2 linked regions of the Oreochromis niloticus genome follow. The protein of the gene in region 1 interacts with the protein of each later gene in a pairwise test. Links are inferred from orthologs where the notes say so. Each region holds a gene or a part of one and is shown on either strand. Other genes may lie near its edges.

The links.
Region 2: the proteins of pdik1l (region 1) and lg20h1orf174 interact in binary tests that used the Homo sapiens proteins (3 or more experiments, as listed by UniProt). The two-hybrid records come from large-scale screens. The link is inferred for Oreochromis niloticus from reciprocal best matches to the Homo sapiens genes PDIK1L and C1orf174.

Annotation. Positions count from the first base shown.
Region 1 is NC_031985.2:38,672,917-38,679,974, reverse strand, and holds the start of pdik1l (serine/threonine-protein kinase pdik1l), read left to right. Parts: upstream 1-4,039; 5' UTR 4,040-4,208; intron 4,209-7,058.
Region 2 is NC_031984.2:26,355,482-26,363,204, forward strand, and holds lg20h1orf174 (UPF0688 protein C1orf174 homolog), read left to right. Parts: upstream 1-4,693; 5' UTR 4,694-4,922; coding exon 4,923-4,934; intron 4,935-5,824; coding exon 5,825-5,896; intron 5,897-6,138; coding exon 6,139-6,507; intron 6,508-7,209; coding exon 7,210-7,350; 3' UTR 7,351-7,474; downstream 7,475-7,723. Other genes in the region: b3gnt7l (UDP-GlcNAc:betaGal beta-1,3-N-acetylglucosaminyltransferase 7, like), read right to left, coding at 1,883-3,118.

The DNA of each region.
Region 1 (7,058 bases):
GCAAAACCACACAGGACAGGGACTATCAAAATAAAACAGGAAATACAACAGGTATGCACAGACACAAGCTCAACACTAAGACAACAGACATGGCAACAGGGAGGGAACACTCTGAGAACAAGAAAATCCTAACAAGAATGAAACATAACACAATAATAATGATCAGAACCAGAACCGTTGAGTCCACAATGAACATTAAAAAAGAGAGAAAAATATATTAAAACTGGTGTTTTTTCATTACACGTAACTGTGAATATGGATAACGTACAGTATGATGTACTATCGTGCAGGATTTATTTATTTCCCTATGCTGGATCACTTTGTTATGGAAGTTTGTTTTCACCACTGACAAAATCATTTTTGTCCTTTATGAGCCAGAATTATTATTCCAACATAACGACTCAAAATTCCAAGTGATTTTCTCAGTTCTGAGCTATGTTTTGAGAAATTTGACGTAGTAAATCAGCATTTTGAGATTAAAAACCTGAAATTATAGCTGCAAAAATGCTGTTTATTTATCAACAGAAAGAAGTTTTCATACTTTCTTGATCAAAAATCTGTTAATGGTTTCAAAAAGTCATATGACAGAGAAATATTTGAATAAATGGCATCAGTGCTTTGAAATCCTTGGAGCAAAGGTACAGTACTAATTTGTAATGATTTCATGAACAACAAGATAAGATGTGACCATCAAAGAAATCCTTAAACAGACTGAGACCGTGTCATCTAAAAGCCAAAGCTGAAAGTATTCTGCCCTCTTGTGGGGGAATTTAATAATACCATAGATGGGATTTTCAGCTGATATAAAGGTAGCTGTTGAACAGGTTAACACAGACTAACATATGAAACTGCACTAAATCTAATAAACCTACCTTAAAACTCAGGGTGTGTTTGATAATATAGTACAATCATAGTCAAAGGTTTTGAGAACAACACAAGTATTGGTTATCACAAAGTTTGCTGGCAATCTGCATGTACTCCAGAATATTATCAAGATTGATCAAATGCATCCACGTGTTTCATCTTTGCCATAAAAATGAACATAATCCTATAAAACCCATTTCCACTGCTACCGATGGACTCTCTGACATCATTAGTGATCCTCTCATTAACAGAGGTGAGTGTTGATAAGAACATGGCTGGAAATCACTCTGTCATGCTGACTGAGCTAAGCAGGGTTTATATGTTCTTCCTCTGTGAATTGGTCAGGGTCCACTCGATCCCAGTAGTTTAATCATCAGACAATTAGTGCGAGGGTCCCTGCAGATGTCTGCATGCCTGCCTGTTTTTTCTGACCGCACTGGTTTGTCTGTGGAGACCATTTGGGCATGCTCCTCAGGTGGCGGACTTTAAGTGGAAGTCAAAAAAGCTTACTATGAATGACTGCTTGGCTGTTGGGTCTCCAGCTGTCAGTGTTTGTGTCCACAATGGAGTGTAATCAAGCCCTTAGAATAGCAGACTGGACGCTTTAAATGGAGGGCAGTGTTTGAAATCATCGTCCGTCCTTAGTTACCTGCAAGGAAACATGAGCAGTCATCCTTGCTTTGCATAAAAGGATACTGCTGCTAGTAGAAGTTCAATTGTTATGAAGAAGGCTTTAGTGTCCAGCAAGCACTGTCTGCTAAAGGTAATTCAGCTTCAGGATCGGGGCACCACCAGTGCAGAACGTGGTCAGGAATGCAGCAGGCAGGTGTGAGTACATCTGCATGCACAGTGAAGCAAAGGCTTTTGGAGGATGGTCTTTTTTCAAGCAGGGCAGAGAAGTTGCCACAAAAACATCAAGGACAGACTGGTCTTTTCTCTGTTTGGGGCATCCAGAAACATGATTGCACAGTGAAGGAAAAGGTGGAGTGCTACCATCAGTCCTGCATCATGCCAACAGTAAAACACCCTGGTACCATTCATGTGTGGGGTTGCTTCCCATCCAAGCGAGTTAACTCACAATTTTGCCATGAAGAACACAGCCACAAATAAAGAACGGTACTAAAACACCCTCTGAGAGCAACTTCTCCCAGCCATCCAAGCAACTCCCAAGCCCCCTGAGGTGTCCCGTTTCCTCCTCAGCCACCAGCCCCCAGCCAGGCTTCCTGATGCATTCCATCTCCACTGCTGCTGGCGTTTTGTCTGGTCTCCTGGCAGACTCTGTTGCTTCCTCCATCGATGCAGGTCTCTTCCAGTAAATCATCTCCTCAGATCTCCTGCCAAGCCTCTGGATGGGCCACATCTCTTCTAGTGCTGGCCTCCAGGGTTCCTTCACTTATGTTGCTGGCTACCTGGCGAGCCTCCAGAGTTGCTCCGTCTATGTCTAATTCATTATAGTTTTTATTTATTTTGCATTTTTATTATTTATTATGGGCAGCATGGGCATGGTGGTGCAGAGTTTACCACTGTCACCTCTCAGAAAGTACTGGCTTCAGATCCACACTGGGGCCTTTTTGTATGGACTTTGTATTGTTCGCCACGGATACTCTGGCTTCCTACCGTAGTCCAAAGACATGTATGGGGTTAGCTAAATTAGTGAATCTAAATTGACTGTAAATGTAAATGTGCACATGAATGGTTATGTGTCTCTATCCTTGTGACAGGCCACATTGTGTTGGCTACACGACTTCAAAAGCATCTCCAAAACTGCAGCTCTTGTGAGATGTTGTCAGTCTGCAGTGTTCAGGATCTATCAAAGGGGTCCAAGTAAGGAACAGTGGTGAACCAGCGACAGGGTTATAGGTGGCCAAGCCTCACTCATGCACACCTGTCCCCCTCTTCTTCACATGTATTTTATTTTGCTTCTACTGACTTTCATTATTCTTGTCTCCAGAGCATACCTCCACCTCTCCAGGTTCTCTTCCAGCTCCTCTCAGATCACAGTATCATCTGTGAACATCATAGTCCATTCCTACCCCACCTCATCAGTCAACCTGCTCATCACCACTGCAAACAAGAGCGGGCTCAAAGCTGATTCCTTGTAATCTCATGTTCACCTTGAACACATCTCTCACTCCCACTGCACACCTTACTACTGTCTTGCTGTCCTCATACGGACCACTTCACATACTTCTCTGGCACTTCTGACTTCCTCCTGCAGTACCAAAGTGCCTCTGTTACCCTATTATATGCCTTCTTTAGATCTACAGAGAGACCTCTATATTTGCAGCAACGCCCTGCATCAGCAAACTCAAAGCAATCACACCTGTGGTGCTCTTTCTTCGCATGAAGCGATTATATCAATTGCACAATGTCCACTCTAGAATACTGAAAATTATTGGACAGCTAGTATAGGTTTGTTCATCTGTTCAGTTTTAGGATTTTGGTCATGTGTTTTCTGTAAACGTGTTAAAATCAGACAAATAGGTTTGTCTATCATCCAAGCATCAGTGTCTGTATTTGAGAAAGAACTACAGGTGATATTTGGATAGCAGGCCCTCTACATTAGATTACATAAACATGTACAGGTGTGTACGGAAGAGGATTAGTGCCACTGGAAATAGAAAAAAGTGGGGGTCTTTTTTTTGCAGAGTAAAAAAATTCCCAATCCTCTTCTGCAGGTGCACATGGCATTTGGTTCACTAAGTGATATTTGGTGTGAAGGCTAGAAGGAACGTGTTCTCATTTCACTGACTGAATAACGCTAATCAAATGTGCTAGTTATAATAGGAAGTTTGCCATTTTTTGAAATACACCGTGCCTTTTGCCATCTTTGAGTCAGGATTTCATTTCAGATGTTAAAGTATAAGAGTTTAGTTTAAAATAAAACAAACAAATAAAAAATCCCCACAAAAAGGACTAAAAAAGTCAACCAAACACAGAGCAAGTAAACAACTCTTAGAATATAAAGCAAAGCTGAATTTTCTGATGCAACAAGACTTAATGAAGAGCCAAAGTACATTTCTCTGCATGTACTTTAGAATTTTTTTTTCATGAAAACACGTTTAGAAAAATATACCCCCGCCCGTCAACGTTTCTCCACCTCCTGGTTACTGAGTCTCCGTTATAAAAATGTATCTATGGAAATTTTATTTTGAAGAGTATGACCGGAAGTCGTCCCTCTATCGCCACTGACGCGCTGTGCTGCATAGCAGCTGCGCGCTCTCACGTCCAGTGTTTGACAAAACCTTCTTGGTTTGACTGTGCGAGCAGAACGTGCGCGGCGGTAATGGCTGCCAGGGAGAGTAAAGAAGACAACAAATGAACCCCCGAGAATCGACTCGAAGGTGAGCTTGATAACATGTTATTCCGCGGCCCGACAACTGTTGTTTCTTCTACATATCAACTATTGTCTCGTCTGCTGTAGCTACTTGGGTCGCGTGTGTGTGTTTTGAGGTTGGATTTTTTTCTGATGCCACACACACGCACACACATACACACACACGCGCGCGCACACACAGAGGACAATAAACTGTCAATACCCTGTGCTTATCACGCATGCCCCCTCTGTGCCCCGGTGCTGGTACCGTTAAAGAGGCATGGACTTGTCCTAGCTAGATGCGTCAAATACCACCGTACATGTCAGTTGTGCTGAAGATATATGGACTCTTTGTTAGCTCAGGTTAACGTGATTAGCTAACGTTAGCTGAGCAACAACATCGTTAGCTGACAGTAGGCAGGCCAGATAGCTGTTAGCCTCTTAGCCAATCAGCCAAGTGGATTTGTAATCAGCCCCTTAGCACGCTGGCTATCGCTCCTTCCGTCCGGGAGTCAGCCTTTCGCTGCCGACTTTTGGGAGACATCCATCAGCTCCGAACCTGTCACTGTCCCTACTTTAGAATGAAGTTTTCTGATTAGTCCACTGAATATTAGGATACAGACAGGTGTTTAATACCGGTCATTCCCAGTATGGCAGGCAGAGTTGTTACAGTGCTAAGTTGTGTTTTGCTCCAAGTCGAAAGTGCAACAGCCCATCAAATGAAACAACACTAACATAAGTTGGCTTTATAATAAGAAGAAATGGTTATAACTGAGCTATTATTGATATGTGAAAAAGTGATTTTGTGCACTGGTGAGTTTTACTTATCGAGTATTGCTGAAACAGTATTCCAATAGCCCATATCATCAAATACTATTAATTTTTTTTTTTTAAAAAGGTACTTCCTAATCTGATTATGACCGAGCTCCTCTGCAAGGTAACGTAACCCTGTAGTGGTGTCACTTTAACACAATGCTTTCTGCAATAGTTGTATATGGTGTTGAATCCTGTGTGCATTATGAAGCAGCAGAGGGGTATGCTGCGAACTGAATACTATACAGGTTTTCCTCATGTGTTTGTTATTAATTGAAAGTTAAAGCTGCTTTTTTTAATTATAGGAGAAAGGGCGGGGTGGGGGGCACTTATCTTTCACTTCACTCATCTTACATGCAAATTGGTGTGTAACAGGCTGTGCTTAAGCCAAATTACTATGGTGGCAGTAGTAATAATAATAATAACAATAACATGTTATTATATATTATAATTTTATTTGCTGCCTTGTTGCTGAAACACAGTAGGATTCTTTGTTGTATCACTTGTTCAACAAGAAAAAGACGCCTCCATCCTCTGTCACTGTTTTACATGAGCACAGCTCACTGGGTAAACAGTTAGAAAATATTATAAGTATTTATTTACTTTGTCGACAGCTTACAGTTGTCATCCAGTTACATTATATCTGTAATCTTTATGTTTGCTGTTCTAATAACTGTGTAGTTATACTGATTGTAATCTGTCCCTGTTTTTAGTTCTGTCCATCACTCAGCTGTCTGTTTTATGCCACTGAGTTATAAAGTAACAATAATCAGAAGTATAGTATGATAAATAAAAATGAAGGGAAAAAGAAGTATTGATAACTCATCAGTGCAATCTCAGGTCACGTCTTCTTGAAAAATATGAGCAGTGTTATAATGTTGTACAGGCCTAACTGACAGGAATGTTCTGTGTCGGAGCTTCTCATTGGGAGCGTTTCCTCTGCCGTCCCGTCACAGGTCAGTGACATGAACGTTCGCTTAGTTGGTGAATTGTAGATATTTGATTTCTATCCGGGCCTTTTGTTAAGAAGCTAAACTGTGAATGGTTGTTGCAGCTAAACTAAGATAACTGCAGAAAATGATGGTTTGGTTGACGGTCTATATGAAGGTAATTGTGCCGTCAGTTCTTCAGCCTGCTGTGCTCGGGTCAGAGGGACGTAAGGATCATCACACAGGTCTGTGCTGTTCGTCCGCCTGTCTGTCTTTTGTGACCATGTGGATTCATCCACAGAAAATTACAGTGCACCAAGTATGCATGTCCCCCAAGGGATGCACTTTCAAGAAATGGAACAGGAGCCTGGCTGTGACGTCTCCGGCTGTCAGTGTCTTTGTCTCAGCCGAGTAGAATCCAGGCTTCACATTTCCAGGACCACAGTGTGATCTTAGCTGGCTTTAGCACTGTTCAGGAGGACACAGATGTTAATATGAGCAGTAAGGAGAAATGTGGACCAACTATCACGAGCTGTGGTCTAAACAGTTTAAACATGTAAACTCCAAACTGTTGCTTTCAAATAATGTTTCTGTGTCCTGAATATTTCACTGTGGACTGTGGACATGTTACTCACCCACAGTGTTTGTCATTGCTGCTGTTCTTTGTTTGGATTCCTCCATTGTTTTTACTTTAGTGAGCCAAGTTGTTTTTCATGTTTTGGGATAAAGTATCAAATCATTACTCTGGTGGTGCAAAGTCACAGCAGGAGGACAGACAGAGAACTGGTTTGGTGACCTCAGAGAGGCTGCAGAGCAGAAACAGGACTCTGTCACTGCTGGGAAAGAGTGTGAAGTTGAACTGTGGGCAAAGAGACTCCGAGGAGAGGCACCTGACAACTGTTTAGGTCTTTATTTGTCACAAAGTTTGTTGTGTTAACTCATTCACCCAACGTTTGCGTGTTAGGTGAATGAGAGCAGAGGGAGGCACAGCTCTCTGGGAGCTTTGTGGCAGGAAGGGCACCCGCAGTAAACATATTTACCAAATCACCCGCTGTGGCAACCCCTTACAAGAACAAGAGTAACTTTATTGATCTCAAAGGGAAATTCGTACGTCTGACATACAGTTAAGCCCATAA
Region 2 (7,723 bases), on another chromosome or scaffold:
GGACCTTTTAAGATTTCATCCTCTGATCCATGCACACTGCAGATAACTAGCTGTCCCATGGAACTCCACCCAGCTTCTACACACTGTAAGGATTGGCAAATTTATGCTCCACATCACAACTAAAATCAACCGTTTCTTGTGTTGAATCGGCCTATACCCAATGAATGGGTTGAGAAACTTCTATGGGTAACCGTTGCAGTTTCAGTAAAAATTTATCTAGTTGCTGCATCCCTTCAGAAGACGATGACTCATACCTTCTTGCACACCCAGTAACAGGAGGAGGAACGAGGTCACAGTTTAGTTACAAGCAGAAGATGTTCTTTGCTTTGAGGGAAGCTTTGCTGTCGACTCCACAGTTAGCCAACTGTTTACATATTTGCTTTCCTTTTATACATATTCTATATAGAAATAGCACTTTTGCCAAAGGATGATGTTTTACTGCTGAATTTCTAGCACACTACAGTGACTTACTTCCCTCCACAATGCCTACTGATAGTATGAAGTAGAAGTAAAATGAGACAAAGTAGGTCTCTGAATGAAACAGCACTGCTAGAATGAGGAAAGCAGTGGACATGAATATGCTACATACTGTATGTACACCACATTTTTTCCCTCCAGTGTTCAGAATCACATCACTGGCTTCAAACTGATAGAATCACAAGCTGAAATGTTAAATACTACATATAACATTTAGCCTGGTTTATAATTATCTCTTATGTTGTGCTCATGTTGTGCTGCACAGTGTTATGATGACGACAAAGTGATTGTGATGTATCTGGAAACGGTAATAACATTAATGTGAGCGTATGTTTTATTAGTGGGGAAACTACTTGCTTTAGTCTGCTTCTGTACTGAGAGCTGCCGCAAAAGTAGATGTAAAAGTTGTGTTCATGCGTTTGTAGTCAACAGCATTTTGGCTTCTTTTTTCTGCAGATGTATTTGTTAAATAAAGCATTATTCAGGGACCATTGCACATGTGCTTCCATGTAATCAAAATTCCCAATCAGTGTTTCACCATAAAAGTTACATGTAATACACGGCTCTCTTTAAGAGCCCTCTGTGTATTAAAAAAATGGGCGGTGTCCAACTTCCAGGATTATTGTTGAGCAATATAAAACACATATCAATCAAGTTTTGCAACATTATTCAGTGTTTACAAGAGAGCTCTGGTTTTATTGACACTAACACACATGAATTTACAGTGTTACACACACGTGGTTTCTTTGGTTTCAGGGCTGCCTTTGTAAATCTTACAAAACAAGGTAAAACAAAACCAATATATTATCTTTAAAATACCCAGAATTTGATTTTTACAATTTACAATTTCTATTCAATAAAATAATCATTCAAATATGAATGCAGCTGTGTGTTCTATGCTGTAAATCATGTAGTCCCATGTTGCACTTGAACGTTGCAATGAATTCCTGAAGTCGGAAAAGGAAGCTTAAGGGAAACACTTGGATGTAACAAGTCAGTCTTTTTCGCACCTGCACGAACACCCGTGGGTTTCTTACATCTATGTCTCTAAATTAATTTTTAAATTCAGATTAAGGCAGTTCAGTCTGGAATGGCACAGAAACACGGGTGCTTTCACAATGCGAAAGCTGTGCTCTAGTGGTTTTTACAAAACGGAAAATCAACCCATACAGAAGTGGAGATGAGAGCGCCAACGTGCCGAGTCAGCTGAAAACAAATCAATCGTTTTAATGTGACACACAATATTAAATTCAGTTCCTCTTCCATGTCAGACCCGTGCGTAACGGTAAAGGAAAAATTAACGTGACTCCGCAGATTGCGTAAAGATCATCAAGTATGATCGTCCAAAGAAGACTTCCCGTGAGCTCAGATTTAGTGAATTTATTTACTTTGTACTTTCTGTCAATCATATCGAAGTTTTTTGTGCGCAGATCAGGTCTTGGCTGTGCACCACGCTCCACATCCTGAGCAGCTCCTGCGCGCTCAGTTTGTGGACCACGATTAGGTTTTTATAAAAGCAGGGCTCTGTGTTCATTGTGCTCGCCCTGCGTCTGGTGATGCCGAATGTCCTGAAGCCCGGATGCATCTCTGGGGATAAGTGGATCCTCTGCAGGCACATCCCCAAAAACACATCATCAATGGGGTACAACTCCACGCCCTCCGAGGTCACGAAGAGCCTACGGGCTAAATAGGCGGACATCAGAAACCCCCCACCTCCCACGTAGGGTGGATACGGCTTGTCGTACAGCTCCTTGGGGATGTAATATTTGCTCTGTCGGTTTCGGATGGGGATCGCCTTGGAGATGGTGTCCCCCATAAACAAGCGGGCCGCTTTGCGCTGCTCCACTTTGAAGTCGATGAGCTCCAGCAGGTTGTGCGTGTTCACAAACACATCATCGTCTCCCTTAAATATAAACTGCACGTTGGGGCAGTAGATGTAGAACCACTTGAGAAAATTGACCTCTTTCAGAGTCAGGTTGAAGAAGGTGTCCATGAAGTCCCACTGCAGGATGTCCCCAAAGATTTGGTCCTCATACTCGATCAGTTTCTGTAGGTTCTTGGCGTCTTTGCCAGTGTTTGGGCTTCCGAGTAAAAACAAAGTTTTAATTTTCTTCCCATTTACGGTTTGCTCCTTCCCCCAGGTTTTACGCACGGCCTCCCTCCGGTCGTGCTGCTCAATAACGGACTTGACCACCACGAGGAGATGAACGTTTCCATCGGCGCACTTCTCCGGGTGATTGATGAGCATGGGGAAATACCTGCAGTGTCTGTGAAGCACAAACTGGTGAAATCTCTGGTCCAAGCGCCGGAACCAGTCCTGGGTCCTCACCGATGCGTCCGCGCTACAGTTCAGAACCTGTGCGTCCCAAGAAGCCCGAGTTACGTTCGGGACCTGCTGTGTCTCCAAATCCTTGACGGGCACGGGAGAATCTGAGGTCCCCGAACTGGTCATAGCTGTCTTCTTGAATGAAAAACACTCCGAGCCGCACCAGGCCGGATCCCTCACATGTTTAACCCCCACTGCGTCTTTCTCCGACAGTTTCAGCTTTTGGATCATGAGAAAAGACGCAAAGATCAGAGACAGACTCAACAGGGGTTTCAGAAAAGCGGGGATCCGCTTTCTCCGAAAAAAGTGATCCATTGCTGTCACCGTGACACGCTGGGACCCTCAGATGCCTTCATAATGTTTCACAACTGTGCGCCTGAGTGGAGACTGCAGTCCCACCTCACGAAGACACGGGGTAAGAGCGCTCAGTCAAGTGTCTCCTTGGCCACGTCTTGACCATGACAGCGCAGAGTGAAGTTACACATTCGTCCCTCTTTGCTGTGTAGTTCGTCCCCGAGCTTCTTCTCAGGGTTTTGCCTCCACACAGACTATCTGGAGATCTGATGGAGGATACCACTATCTCACCCCACCCCCAAATATCTCCTCCCCTTAATAAACTAAACTGATCTGGGACCTGTAGGTATCCCATTTCTCTCTCTCTCTCTCTCTCTCTCTCTCTCTCTCTGTCTAACACACACACACACACACACACACACACACACACACACACACACACACACGTGTTCACCAGGTTTTGCCGATCCACTAGCCACCACATCATTATCTTATTCTTAATATTGAATATCAGTAGCTCCTTTAATCCGCGTTAATTTACATGATTAGAAGTGATAGAGAACAGAACTAAAATACAACGAAATGATTCAGAAATAATTCTATAAATAAACTAACAACCATCTTCATGTGAGTAATAAAACAAACACCACAGCGTTTATAAAGGAACAGCGATGATGATTTTCTAAAGAAGTTTGACAGTCTAATTTTAATTCCAGTGCTAGGTGAGAAATACTGGACTACAGCACTCCTCGAGCTGTCTCGGTGTTTTCTGTCTCCTAACGTACAAAAATCCCACACTGAGTCCGTGACGCTCAGATCCGTGGGGCCCCACCATCTGTTGCCGCGTGTTGTTGTCGGTTGCTCTGGAGGAGTGGGAGGCAATCAATAGCCTCCTGACAGGGACTGTGCGATGAATGACAATTAGAACATGAAATGATTTCTAAATTATGTTTACTTACTGTTTTGGTACCGGACAAAGTCAACTGTATGTTCTAAATGATTACACAGCTGTTAAAATCGAAGCCAGTGTGACCTGTTGGCTGATTACAAGAATTAGACGCTTCTTTAAAAACCTTATTGCGCCATCTTGTGGACATTTATTGGAACTGCATTCGACTTCCGGAATCTCCTCCTTCATACGTCACTGCTAAACAAAAGCCAAACTTTGAAACATGGCGTGAACTGGCATTTGACGTATGATTGTCCCGTCTCACAAAATAACACGGAGAAATACGGGCTTACTGTGAACCAGCGTGTCACGAGAACCCCTTTCATTAGCATAAGTCACAAGATGGGTGGAAACAACTCCCGCAGAAGCACTGAGATGGCGTGAAAGTGGAGAAGGCCAAGTTTGTGGAAAAATAAAATATTAAAATAGTGGGGAAAAAAACCTAAAAGAAAATCAGATACATACAAAAATACATCTAGTAAAAAGCATTTACAAACCCCTCGAACTAAACTACTTTTAATTATATTTTTTATAATAGAAATCTAATATTATATATATAAATATAAAATAACACGTGTGTTTTAAGATATATTTCTTTTTTTCTCCATTTTCACTAATGCTCTTTAGTACAGGGTGGTGTCGGTGGCGGTGCAGTGTGGCGCAGAGGACGTCCTGATATTGAAACTGCAGACCTCTGAGTGAACCTCACCAGCAGGAAATACACCGGGGAGGCGGCGGGGAGCGCTCACATCGTAAAATTATCGCCGTTGTTTAGTCGCTAGTTGAAGCCAGCCGATTGGAAAGCCAGAAAACCCCAAGGTGGTGGAAACTTTCAATATCGTAGGTGCTGAAAAACCTAAATATCCACGCCGGCAAATGATACATAAGGTAAGTACGTGTTTAAATAAATGAGAAAACCGGCAGGCAGGTCGAATTAGTTATTTTTTTCTCTCCTACTGTTAGCTCGTAGCTGGCCGCATTAGCTTGTTGCCGAGATGTCGAAATTAGGCGTTTTTGTTGTGTTTAGTGACGCTTTAGCTTCGTCGTGACCTCCGTGTTGGTGTTATTGTACCGATACCGACTGCTGGAGTCATTGTTCTGCCGCGTGCTTCAAATTATGATACCCGGGGCATTTTTGACCGGGGTGGGTTATTTTCCGACGATATTGCTTTGATTTTTGTAGGCGAAAGCTAGCTGCTGTGCTGAGCAGGTGTTGTCTTAGCAGTTCAACTATCAGCTGCCTTTTATGGACTCACATTCGGCGTAGCTCGGGCACGTCTACACGTAAAAAAGCAATGCCGGAGGGATTAGGCGTATTGACTGTACTGGAAGAACTGGGTCATAGTTGACGAGTAACGCGACTTTAATTTGCCAGTAAATTAGCAGGAGTTTAGCCGGCGGAGGATAGAGGGGCGCTGTTGGGGGGTTTAAGCAGCTCAGCGGGCTGCAGAGCCAGCTTTATAACTTTATCCGATTGATGTTGTCCACTATTTTTATTTTTATTTTTTTTGTTAAGACAGTGTTTGAACTGGAAAATGACAAATCTCCATACAAGCGAAAATGCTCCTAAAACTGCCCCCGTTAAAGAGCTGTCCGATAAATTTAGCTTCTTTTACTGAGTGGAGTGAAAACATTTGCTAATTTTCTGCTTAGCAGGAGCAAACGCTGGCATTATGACGGCTTCCTCTCAGCTGACTAAAACCATAGTTTTTTTTTTCCCACGATGTCATTCCATTAATAAAGTACTCTATATAAACAAACATCATGATGCTTTGCAGATGCCTGGTGAAGTTGATAATTTGAAGCCAAGAAAGAGGAAGAGCAGCTCTGAGACCAGAAACACCAGAAAGGTTTGTTTTGTCTGTGTACATAATGCTGCAGATGTGTGATGAGTCGAAAAGAAAAGCAGGAGTTAAATGAGCTGCTGTTTCTGAGTGTATCTGGTATAGTTATCTACACCCCTACAGCTGTAACCCCTACACCGGACAGCTGTGAGTGGCTCCAAATTAACAGGATGTGATTACTGCAGTGGAGTCCCGCTGTGGTTACCCCAACATCATCCTAACTTTGTTCCTTAACTTTTGTATCATAGACATCTGCTGCAAGGAGGAGATGTGTGAAAAGTCCAAAGGCGAACTCGTCGTCTGAGAGCAGCTCAGCAGTTGGGAACACTAAAGCAGCTGGTCCTCTGGAGAGAGACTCCTGCATCAGCTGTGAATGCCACCAGTCTTCTGGCAGGAGGAGGTGCTTAGCATCACCAGAGCATGAAGGACAGGAAGGTAAAGAGAACGCGCTGATGATGGGACAGGATTCAGACAGCTGCGTAATGAATAGCATCTGGGACAAATATGAGCCTGAGCATATGGATTATGAAGAAACAGGCAAAATCATGTTCCCAGATGATGACAGTAATCAGATCCTTCCTGTGGAGCAGTTCTTTGGAAACTTGGATGCTGTACAGGTGAGGCACGTTGGTTTTAATTCCTGGGGGAAACAGGTTTTTGTTTTTTTGGTAAAGAAAACTTCTGACTGATGATCAGTTTAGAAGAATCAGCATCCATATCTATTATTCTAATCTATTCATTTAAAGCTGCTCTTCTAGGGTGTTTTGTAATAGACATGGGAGTTGGAAGATATGTTAGACTTGTTATACATTTGGACCTTAAAATTGGTTTAAATTTCAGCAGTAATTGGTGCATTATTGGATGTACCAAAAGGGTCTTCCTGCTAATAAAACACAAAACATGGGCAATAATGTGCAGAGTAGAAGACCACGAGTTGTTACACAAAAGCCTCACTCTGCCAGGAGTCCCTAACGTATCATTTTAAGTTTGCCTTGAGGCCTTGAGGTTTGGATTCTTTCTCTCAAATAAATATGATTTGCAGTTTTTTTTCCTTCTCTTTTTCTGGTCTCACTCAGTTAACATTAAACAAACTGACATTTCAACCTCTTATCAGCAGGGCTAGAGTTATATGAGAGCAGTAACAACCCCTAGTTAGCTTTGTTACTCACTGATAACTTTAATTTTATCCATACACATAGATTCTATCCCCCCATTCCCACCACATCTCTAGGCCCATCATTCCTGCAGTTATATCTTCAGCACAATTTGTGAAAATAATGTTGCATTAAATGAATTCTAAATATGGATTCATCCTACAGGATTTTCCTGAAAGATCATCCACGTCTTCTAGCCGCGCCCAAAGGAAGAACAGGAGGCGACATTACTATGCTCGAGAGGACAGCGATGAAGACGAGGTGGATTTCAGTGGCGTGCAGCGAGACAACGGGGTGGGCACTTAGGCTACATTCACACTGCAGGCGAAAGCGCATCAAATCCGATTTTTTTTTTACCCTATGTGACCCATATCTGATCATGGTATGACAGTTTGAACGGCACAAATCCGATATTTTCAAATCCGATCTAGGTCACTTTCGTGTGTGGTACTGAATCCGATACATATCCGATGTTTTAGAAAGCGACTGCTGTTTGAACGGTCATGTCGCATTAAATCCGTCTTTTACGTCACTGACACAAGACAGACGCCAATTATCAGCGCCGGAGAAGCGCCCGAGAAGACATCGCGAACGCTTCCTGGCCATCCAGTGTAGATGTCAGTGAAACTGTTGGGAAGACAACGTGAACATTTTATTTGTACTGTATAATCTGCAGATT